Linked DNA regions of Xenopus tropicalis. The protein of the gene in region 3 interacts with the protein of the main gene of each other region in a biochemical or structural test. Links are inferred from orthologs where the notes say so. Each region holds a gene or a part of one and is shown on either strand. Other genes may lie near its edges. The genes, in order: eif2b5, lrp6 and gsk3b.

Region 1 (3,654 bases), on a different chromosome or scaffold from region 3:
CCCTTCCAACTCTGCTTTTCTGCCTGATATCCACAGTCAGTATGGAAAACAACAATACAACCCCAGTACATCTTATTTATTCCCCACATTCAAATGAACCCTACATCATATCACTTTCACCTTAGGAACATTATACACAATCCACTTTCCTCACACAAGAGACTAACCCCACTCCAATCCTTTATGAACACTGCTGCCACACTTATATATCTCTTCCATTAAACACTCTCAGAACCTCCAGGCTTTTTAAAGGTCACTTAAAACTCACCTTTTCATTCAAGCTTATAACATAAGCACTCAGCAACTTACCCACCCACCAAGACCCTCTACTTTCTGCTCACATACTTAATAGCTATTGGTATCTGTAGCAGTAGAGATGCCTACTAAGCAGAGAGATGTCACAGTACCTTTGACCTTCATTCTTTCTGCCTGTTTTCCAGCTCCTGCATCATCACTAAACTCATCATCATCATTTTCATCCTCTTCAGGATGATGAAGAGAAATAACTGTACTTTCAGGCAGTTGTATATCAGGACCAATCACTACCTATGAGAGAGAAAAGAATAATGGAAATCCTATAATAAAAGCCCTTTTCAAATTAAACATAAAATCCAAATTCATTTTTATATTAACACATCCAAACCCATTATAAAGGCATTTAAAAATCCCAGTTATCAATCATATATTGCTTGCCCCGCCTCTATGCCTTAGGCATAGAGGTGGGGCAGACAATAACTTTAGCTTTCTGTTCAGCACTACCTAGATGTCACTGCACATCTCACTTTTCCCCTCCCTGCTCATCATCTAATTGTGTAGCCAGTGCAAGGCCATGGACATCTGGTCCCCCTTTCTGGCACATAAACAAGATTTTGGCATGATACACAGCTTGCCTTCATAACAGTGTCCACAAAATGGTGGCTGCCTGCTTGCTTTGAATGAGTAATTCCAAGACAGAAAGAAACACGATTTATATTATTTATATAGAGTAAGTAAAGTTTATTTTGCTCAACTAACAATATAGAAAATAAGTTGGAGTTATTTCTTATGGTGACAGGTCCCCTTTAAGTGCAATTACTTTCTCATTGGTTTTGCGTGTAGAGAAATATTTTCTAAGGCTTTAAAAGAATAGAACCACAAGCAAAGACTAATGCAATTTTATGCTAACAAATGTAACTAAAAGAATCATCTGATGCTTAAACTGATTTACTTTTAAATTAACCAGGCAGCTCTAACTTATTTTGCCAGGTCATGAAAACACTAAGTGGATCCTTGAAATATCTGGTCACTCAGGCAGTGGGCCAGATGCGGCTAATCTGATCATCTGGCCCAGACCAATGGTCATTTTGTAACAGAGCCCTTAGTAGTTCTGTCTGGGGAATATGCAACAAAAAGGCCTATGTGGACCTCCCACTACGCAATTCAGGATTTTTAAACCTACCCAATATATTTTGGACAGGGGGTAGGAAGGCTGTGGTTTTGGACACATACAGGGCCAACCTCTTCTTATCAATCAGTCTTTATTACCTTTGACGTCAACACGCAGTAAGGATTTATCTGCACCCTTTTCTTCACAACAACATCATTACAAATTATGGAATTTTTGATAGTAACATCATCTTCAATGTGAACTCTATCCCAGACATGTACATTCTCTAGAACTACTCTGTCTCCTTCAAAAAAAAAAAAAATTTTTTAATTAATTAAAAAAAATGAAGAAAAAAAAATAACATATATAATAACATAAATAATAACATTTTAGTTTATGGTGTATTATAATTGTTTAAGTACTTGTCGATAATTGTCTCTTTGTGCGTTTTAACAGAGGCAAGTCTCAGTACTGTATATGGCAGGGTATCTTCTGGAGTTTAGTAGCTGTAAAAAAGGAGCTGCTACTAGTAGCTCCGTGTGTCTTCACCCCTAAGGGCTCTGGCACACGGGGAGATTAGTCGCCCGCGTCAAATCTCCCCGAATTGCCATCCCACCGGTGAAAATGTAAATCCCCGGTGGGAAGGCATACGCAGCGACACGATTTGCGGAAGTTGCCTCGAGAGGTTCGCCGTGTATGCCATTCCACCGCCGATTTACATTTTCGCCAGTGGGATGTCATATAGGGGAGATTAGTCGCCCGCAAGAAGGGAGATTTGTCGCGGGCGACTAATCTCTCCGAATTCCCATCCCACCGGCGAAAATGTAAATGTAAACGCGATTTGCGGAAATCGCTGAAGCTGCCTCAATGTCATATCGGGGAGATTAGTCGCCCGCAACAAGGGAGATTTGTCGCGAGTGACTAGAGGTGCAGGTATGAGATCTATTACCCAGAATACTTGGGACCTGGGGTTTTCCAGATAAAGGGTCATTCTGAAATTTGGAGTTCCATACTTTAAGTCTGCTAAAAAAAAATAAAAAATAATTTAAAAATTAAATAAACCCAGCAGGATTGTTTTGCCTCAAATAAGGATTAATACTAGCTTACTTAAGATTAAGTGCAAGTACTGTTTTATTATTACAGAGAAAAAGGCAATCATATTTTAAAACGTGAATTATTTGATTAACATGAAGTCTATGGGAGATGGCCTTCCCATAATTCGGAACTTTATGGATAACAGGTTTCTGGATAAGGGATCCCATACCTGTACTGCAGGGGTCCCCAACCGCCGGGCCGCGGTGCTAAAAAGGTTGGGGGACCCCTGCTGTACTGTAATGCTGATAAGGGGAATAGAAGGTAGGAAAGATTAAAGAATTAAATAGTTTAATATTCATTTAAATATAATGCACCATTGCTCTGCACTGGTAAAAACTGTGTTTGCTTCAGATTATATAAATAAGTCAATATGAAGTCATGGGGAGCAACCATTCAAGTTAAATATGGCAAAATGCTTGCGTTTACATAGTAAATAACAGATAAGCTGTATAGAATACAACAATTTTAGTTCTTACGTAGTTTTTCCCTTATTACGGGTCAATTTAATTTTTTCAAGAGGAGTCTAGACTTTATGCATCTTTTGCCACTGCTTACATTTTAAAAAACAGCATAGCTAAGATCAAGTACAAGCACTGTTTTATTTTTTTATAGAGAAAAGGGAAATCATTTTTAAAATTTGTATTATTTGCTTAAAATAGACTATGAGAAAATGTCCTTCCTGTAATTTGGAGCTGGTGGAACAGGTTCCCCTAATAAGGGATACAACACCTGCACTGGTTTCATCACAAAAAGATTTCACCAACAGATAGTAAAAACCATTATAACCCAAAGTATGCAAAATTGAAGAAAGCTGTAGAGAATGAGTTTCTTTGTACCATAGTGTTCTGCCTTCTAGGTGTAAGTTATAACCAGTCCCTGTACCACAAAGCTTATGTAAAGAAAAAAATGCATTGTAGAACTAGAATTCTACTTAACAGTATGTATAATTTTAGGGGGACATATCATTTATTAGAAGTACTTATACTGTATTGGGCTTTATTAAATGTAGGGTTTTTTATATTAGAAGTTTGGGAAATAATCTGGGTCTTTTTCTGCATTCAGATTTATTATAGTTGTGTTTCAGGGTACCAGCTTGAATTTATTCAGTTTTTTCGTCCTCACTGGATCTTAGCCTTTACTGCATATTCTTTCCACTGCAATTCAATTTCGTTCCAGAATCGTGTATCCAAATT
Region 2 (3,654 bases), on a different chromosome or scaffold from region 3:
TATGTGCCACTCAGCAATAGGGAAGGGCTAAAGGCTTCCATTAGTGGCAGAAAATAAACAAAGAGCCATTCGGGTTAATGCTAATACAGGTATGGGATCCCTTATTCGGAAACCTGTTATCCAGAAAAGCTCCGAATTACGGAAAGTCCGTCTCCCATAGACTCCATTATAATCAAATAATTCAGATTTTTTAAACTGATTTCCCTTTTCTCTGTAATAATAAAACAGTACCTGTACTTGATTCCAACTAAGATATAATTACCCCTTATTGGGGCAGAACAGCCCTATTGGGTTTATTTAATGGTTAAATGATTCCCTTTTCTCTGTAATAACAAAACAGTACCTGTACTTGATCCCAACTAAGATATAATTACCCCTTATTGGGGCAGAACAGCCCTATTGGGTTTATTTAATGGTTAAATGATTCCCTTTTCTCTGTAATAATAAAACAGTACCTGTACTTGATCCCAACTAAGATATAATTACCCCTTATTGGGGGCAGAACAGCCCTATTGGGTTTATTTAATGGTTAAATGATTCCCTTTTCTCTGTAATAATAAAACAGTACCTGTACTTGATCCCAACTAAGATATAATTATCCCTTATTGGGGGCAGAACAGCCCTATTGGGTTTATTTAATGGTTAAATTATTCCCTTTTCTCTGTAATAATAAAACAGTACCTGTACTTGATCCCAACTAAGATATAATTACCCCTTATTGGGGGCAGAACAGCCCTATTGGGTTTATTTAATGGTTAAATGATTCCCTTTTCTCTGTAATAATAAAACAGTACCTGTACTTGATCCCAACTAAGATATAATTACCTCTTATTGGGGGCAGAACAGCCCTATTGGGTTTATTTAATGGTTAAATGATTCCCTTTTCTCTGTAATAATAAAACAGTACCTGTACTTGATCCCAACTAAGATATAATTACCCCTTATTTGGGCAGAATAGTCCTATTGGGTTTAATTAATGTTTTATTGATTTTTTAGTAGACAAGGTATGGAGATCCAAATTAAGGAAAGACCCCTTATCAGGAACACCCATGGTCCCAAGCATTCTGGATAACGGGTCCTATACCTGTAGTATCAAAACAGAACCCCCAGTAGTATTGTAAAACCCTAAGAAAGGCTTGCTGATGTACTGCCTCTTTCCAGTGTTCGTACAGGTATCTGACCCCAAAAGCAAAGAGATAAAGAAAAGCACTGTAATTCTACAATTTTATAAAGTTCTTTTCAGCCCCTCTGTGTTCGTCTTCCAGTCTCTCAATTACAGTAGTGTCTGGTTGCTAGGGTAAACGACAGCCTAGCAACCAGACAGCTGCAGAAATTTCAAACTGGTGAGCTGCTGAACAAATATCTAAATAAAGGTGGCCATACATACCTGAATGTCAATGGAGGGAACGAACCATCTTTCCTGTGACCAATGGTGGCAGGAAAGATCAGGGCTGAATTGTCAGATACAGAGGTAGAAACAATATGGATTATACCTCCACCTGACAATTCAGCCCTAAACGCAAATTCTGCTCAGGTGCCTTCAACGGTGCACGATCAAAATCTTTTATCCCGTCCGATCGACAAGACGACCAATATCCAAAATCCTTGCATTATTGGTTGTCTCGTCAATCCGTCAAACACACACTGAATAATGTACGAAACACGGTTTTGTACGATACTATCGGTGTGTATGGCCAGCTTAATTCAAGCACTAACCCTTTAAGAAGTAAAATATTTTATATAACAAAGTCTCGTCATTTTGTACGAAACTTGGACCCACCTCTATCTTATCGGTCTTGGCATCTCCCCAGTAGATTTTCCCTTCTGCATAATCCAGTGCCAGACCATTGGGCCAACCAAGTGAGGTGTTCACTAATATAATCCTGTCTGAGCCATCCATTGCAGCACGCTCAATTTTAGGGATTTCTCCCCAATCAGTCCAATACATGTACCTATATAAAAAAAAAAGTATATTATTTTATTATTCAGGTTTGGAACCCTTTCTCTGGAAACCAGTTATCCAGAAAGATCCAAATCTATGTCCCATAGACTCCATTTTAAAAAAAAATATATCCTTTTTCTCTGTAATAATAAAACATACATGCAACACTGTTCTAGTACCTATAGGGCTTTCGGTATACAAAAACCACTGATGTTGTATGGGTGCTATAAGCTATGGGGTATTCCTTGGTTGGTAAAGGGGGAAAAAAATAAATAAATCGTACCCATTCATAGGATCTAGCACTATGGCTCGTGGTTCATCCAGGTCCTCGGATATGAGGATCTTGCGCATAGTCCCATTCAGCCGAGTGACTTCAATGCGGTCCGTCCCCGTGTCGGTCCAGTACAAGTTCCGAGCCACCCAATCAACAGCGATACCATCCGGATGGGCCACTTGGGAGGTGACAATGTATTGACTGGAAGAGCCATCGATCTGTGTGCGGCGTATGGCTCTCACCTCGTCGTCCGTCCAGTAAATGTACCCTTCTACAGGATCATAGTCAATGGCAATAGCGTGGCGAATATCGTCCAGTGGCAAAACAATATCTGTGAAGTCCGGAGTGTCCAGCGATATTCGCCTGAGGTCCGTCCTGCGGACAAGCAGCAGCAACTCTGTAGCACCTACACAAATGGCAAAGAGATGCAAAAGTTCAACTCAAGATACATGTTATTTTAAAATTCATTCATTCAATTCTTCATTTTTATTTTGGCAGTTTAGCTTTCTGTTAGTTTGTAATTGCAGCAGCTAACTAGTTGCTAGGGTCAATTTAATCTAGCAACCAGGCAGCGGTTTCAAATAGAGATAGCAATATCATTAGAGGAGGGTCTAAATAGAAATATAAGTAATAAAAAGTAACAACAGCAATAAAAAAAAAATGTAGCCTCGCTGCCGGGGTCAGTGAACTCCATTTGAAAAAACTATAAACAAATAAAAATTGAAGACCTTCAGCTTTGTACAGGTATGGAATCCCTTATCCGGAAACTCGATATCAAGAAAGCTCCGAATTACGGAAAGCCTGTCTCCATTTTAATCAAATAATTCAGATTTTTAAAATTGATTTCCTTTTTCTCTGTACAGGTATGGGATCCCTTATCCGGAAACCCGTTATCCAGAAAGCTCCGAATTACGGAATGCCTCTCTCCCATAGACTCCATTTTAATCAAATTATTCAGAATTTTAAAACTGATTTCCTTTTTCTCTGTAATAATAAAACAGTACCTGTACTTGATCCCAACTAAGATATAATTACCCCTTATTGGGGCAGAACAGCCCTATTGGGTTTATTTAATGGTTAAATGATTCCCTTTTCTCTGTAATAATAAAACAGTTCCATGTAATTGATCCCAACTAAGATATAAATAATGCTTATTGGATGCAAAACAATCCCATAGGGTTTAATTAATGTTTTATTGATTCTTTAGTAGACTTAAGGTATGGAGATCCAAATTACGGAAAGACCCCTTATCCGGAATACCCTTGGTCCCGAGCATTCTGGATAACGGGTCCTATACCTGTATTAATAAAACAGTACCTGTACTTGATCCCAACTAAGATATAATTACCCCTTATTGGGGCAGAACAGCCCTATTGGGTTTATTTAATGGTTAAATGATTCCCTTTTCTCTGTAATAATAAAACAGTACCTGTACTTG
Region 3 (3,754 bases):
TCTTCCAGGCCAATAACTTTACGGATACCCTCTAGGCTTCGATCTCCAGCTTAGTGAGCCCCAATATTCTCGAATGTGACACTTTAGAACATTACAATTCCCGTGCAACACCCGTTGGAGCCCAACACTTTGCTGAAATAACAGTAAGTGAGTGCAATATCTCTCAATGCAGAGAGTTGTGGGTTCTGCAGACCATCCGGGGAGGAGACCTCTGCACAGACTCCCAGGGACGGGCGTCACGGCCAAACTCCTCGTTGGCGACTGAGTGACATCCCTAATCCCAGACTGGCATCTCGGTGGACCTCAGTAAAATCCAAAAATAACTCCTAATTGCGCGAGGCCCTTACGGTATTAGGGGTAATTCAGTGGGATCGGTTTACATGCAGGATGAGGGCGTGAGTGCAGCTTTATTGGGCACATTTCCCCTTATTGTAGCCGGGTTTCCTCTGCTTCACACTGGGGGGGGGGGGTTACGGGGAGTTACGGCACACACGGGCACGGTGCTACAAAGGGATACTCACGGCTGACTTTCATGCTGCCAAAAGATGACGGTTGCTGCACGGGTTTGCAGCTCTCTGCAAAGGAAGTGGTTCTCGGCCTCCCCGACATGATTCTCCGGCTCCTCCCTCACCTCCTTCTCTCTTGTAGATCAAAGCCAGATGGAGGGCAAGACCATCAAGGCCCCGGCGCACAATAAGCTTCTCAGCCCTTACCGAAAGCAGTGGGGCCTACCCGGCGCGGTGGTCCCTCTCCCCCACCTCTGTATTGTCACCTTTCCCCTCCGACGATCACTATTTATAGACCATCCCTCGGGCTCCAGTCGGGCACACAATATGGCAGCCGGGGTGTCAGTAGGCCATGTAGCCGGGAATCAGTGGTTTAGTCACAGGCGCAAGGGCCACGGGATTGTCACTGCCGGGGCCACAGGTGACGCTCGGGGGGTAACAGGGCTACTGCTCCTTAGCGATGGATTGAAGGGTTGGAGCCACACAGAGCAGGTTCCGGAGGCTGTTGCCCAAAGCTTGTGCCTGCAGGGGCAATACTTCAAGTATTAAGGGCAGTTTCAAGTGGTACTGCAACAATACTGCACCACAGGCAGGGCAACAGGGCAGGTTCTGCTCTAGTGGGAAAGCGGCAGAACTAGGAGGATCTGGTCATACGTCGTCTGGGGGGGGAATAAGGACAGTTGCCCCCAGGAATCTGTGATTTTGCCCCACTTGTGGCACAATATTGCCCTTGACAGGGTCTCAGGCAAAGGTTTCAGTCGCAAAGCCGAGATATTGATCCGATGGGGGTGGGAAGCTCACTGCTCCAATGGGGGTATTAGCAGGGGCAACTGGATGTCTCACTGCTCCAATGGGGGTATTAGCAGGGGCAGCTGGATGTCTCACTGCTCCAATGGGGGTATTAGCAGGGGCAGCTGGATGTCTCACTGCTCCAATGGGGGTATTAGCAGGGGCAACTGGATGTCTCACTGCTCCAATGGGGGTATTAGCAGGGGCAACTGGATGTCTCACTGCTCCAATGGGGGTATTAGCAGGGGCAGCTGGATGTCTCACTGCTCCAATGGGGGTATTAGCAGGGGCAACTGGATGTCTCACTGCTCCAATGGGGGTATTAGCAGGGGCAACTGGATGTCTCACTGCTCCAATGGGGGTATTAGCAGGGGCAACTGGATGTCTCACTGCTCCAATGGGGGTATTAGCAGGGGCAACTGGATGTCTCACTGCTCCAATGGGGGTATTAGCAGGGGCAGCTGGATGTCTCACTGCTCCAATGGGGGTATTAGCAGGGGCAGCTGGGTGTCTCACTGCTCCAATGGGGGTATTAACAGGGGCAGCTGGGTGTCTCACTGCTCCAATGGGGGTATTAGCAGGGGCAGCTGGATGTCTCACTGCTCCAATGGGGGTATTAGCAGGGGCAGCTGGATGTCTCACTGCTCCAATGGGGGTATTAACAGGGGCAACTGGATGTCTCACTGCTCCAATGGGGGTATTAGCAGGGGCAGCTGGATGTCTCAGATGTTGCCCTAGGGGTAATTATGGAAGTGCGTGGGTAAAGGGCAAATCTCGCCCCAGGGCCGGGTAGTAGCCCAGATGTTGCCCCAGTAGGGGTATTAGCCGGGGCAGGTGGGGTTAATGGCGGGCAGGGAGCGGGGCTTGGGCACAGGCTGAGGCCATGGCGCCTCTCACACAGGGCGGGCAGAGAGAGGGCGGAGAGAGCGGAGTTGTGGGCCCAGGGAGCCGGGCACTTGCTGTCAGGGCCGGGGGTGGGTTCCCGGGCGGAAGCTGCGGCGCAGGATAAAATCACCGGGCAGAGAAATTCGGTTCCCGTTGGACCTCGGGTCGGTACTGTCCCAGAATCCCTTGCGCAGGGCGTTAAAATAAGGTAATCTCCACCGTATCCGTGTCCGGTAACCGCTTCCAGCTCGGTCTCTTTCCCTTTGTCACTCTCCGTCCGACTGACCGCATTTGCCAGTCGGTCTTTTTCCCCGCAATCCTCTCCTCCCTCTCTGCTCAATGACGTAGCGCACCACGCGTCCAACGAGCCGCACGCTAGCGAAACTGAGTAACTCTGCTCTGAGAATACGGGCAAGGGAGGGGGCGGGCCTTCGCCAGTTCCTTCATGACGTTCTGATCTCGGTTTGCTCCGCCCGCATCACTCACCAGCCCATGGAAACCAATCAACTACACGGATTGGCGAGAGGGGGGGCAGAGAAGACGACGTAGCTAACCAATTATCGAGCTTCTCAGTCACTACTCAGCGCTTTCCCCCCCCTCCTTTCTCAATGGCTGGCGTTTTATAGATACTGCTTTATGATTGGCCATCATGTTACCCAGCTTCTCCAATGACACGTTTATTTTTGCAATCTCCGCCTCCTGCCGTTGTCTGCTTGACTCTGATTGGCTAAAGAAATTGTCCGTCTTCTTAACCAGGCCTAGCCTAGAGATAAAAGGAGAGGCGAGGCAGAAATAAGAGACGACCGTCTATTGGTAGGCAGGAGCAGCTGTTGCTGCAAGGAACGGGCGGAAGTAGGCGTTGTCAATCCTTGTTAAGACACCGGAAGTGTGACCTTTTAACTCTTATTATTCATGTATTATATCAGCTGGTTGAAATGTGGGTTTCTGTGGTAACTGGGATATTATGGGGCACGGATATGAGGTCTGAGCCCCGGCCCCGTGTTCAGTCAGAGTGGGGGGGTATTTGTGTGTGTGGGCACATCCTTCCTGTCATATATTCCTATTTGTTCCTTGTTACAGATCCCTAACATTTGCCAGATCTCTGAAATCCCATGGTGGATCATATGGGAGGGGCTGCTGTGTGGTTTTACCCCCCCATAGTGGAGCCGGTGTGCTTGGGTACTTGTGCCATAAGGAGGAAAATGGCTGAAACCAAAGGGGGGCAGGAGGGGTCCTTTACTTGCACCCAGGCCCCAGAGAAGGTTGTGAGGAGAGACTGTTGGCGAGGTCACCAAGCGAGCAGATCTTCTCCCGATATTGCCCACCCTTAGGGGAATTTAGGCTCATTTGGTTGCAGGGGCGGGCCAAGCCGACTGAGCGCCCTAGGCAACCCGGTCGGCCAACTCCGCCCACCTCCCCGCCCCCCCCCCCGAACGGCGCATGCGCACCAAAGCACAGGAGGAGGTGCAGGGGGGGGCGATATGATTAGATTGGTCATTGCCTCTGCCGCTAATGACAAGCGGTGGAGGCAATGACAAAGTAGCACTAGGGGTAGGCAGGCCCCTCAATCGTTG

Evidence for each region.
Region 1: of the proteins of gsk3b (region 3) and eif2b5, one has a biochemical effect on the other in vitro, tested with the Homo sapiens proteins (2 studies listed by BioGRID and IntAct). The link is inferred for Xenopus tropicalis from reciprocal best matches to the Homo sapiens genes GSK3B and EIF2B5.
Region 2: of the proteins of gsk3b (region 3) and lrp6, one has a biochemical effect on the other in vitro, tested with the Homo sapiens proteins (2 studies listed by BioGRID, with this or other methods). The link is inferred for Xenopus tropicalis from reciprocal best matches to the Homo sapiens genes GSK3B and LRP6.

What each region holds. Positions count from the first base shown.
Region 1 is NC_030681.2:100,214,431-100,218,084, forward strand, and holds part of eif2b5 (translation initiation factor eIF-2B subunit epsilon), read right to left. Parts: intron 1,671-3,654; coding exon 1,525-1,670; intron 547-1,524; coding exon 408-546; intron 1-407. UniProt on the Homo sapiens protein: Acts as a component of the translation initiation factor 2B (eIF2B) complex, which catalyzes the exchange of GDP for GTP on eukaryotic initiation factor 2 (eIF2) gamma subunit.
Region 2 is NC_030679.2:8,234,130-8,237,783, forward strand, and holds part of lrp6 (low-density lipoprotein receptor-related protein 6), read right to left. Parts: intron 2,623-3,654; coding exon 2,226-2,622; intron 1,953-2,225; coding exon 1,781-1,952; intron 1-1,780. UniProt on the Homo sapiens protein: Component of the Wnt-Fzd-LRP5-LRP6 complex that triggers beta-catenin signaling through inducing aggregation of receptor-ligand complexes into ribosome-sized signalosomes.
Region 3 is NC_030678.2:1,861,851-1,865,604, reverse strand, and holds the start of gsk3b (glycogen synthase kinase-3 beta), read right to left. Parts: upstream 2,769-3,754; 5' UTR 610-2,768; coding exon 522-609; intron 1-521. UniProt on the Homo sapiens protein: Constitutively active protein kinase that acts as a negative regulator in the hormonal control of glucose homeostasis, Wnt signaling and regulation of transcription factors and microtubules, by phosphorylating and inactivating glycogen synthase (GYS1 or GYS2), EIF2B, CTNNB1/beta-catenin, APC, AXIN1, DPYSL2/CRMP2, JUN, NFATC1/NFATC, MAPT/TAU and MACF1.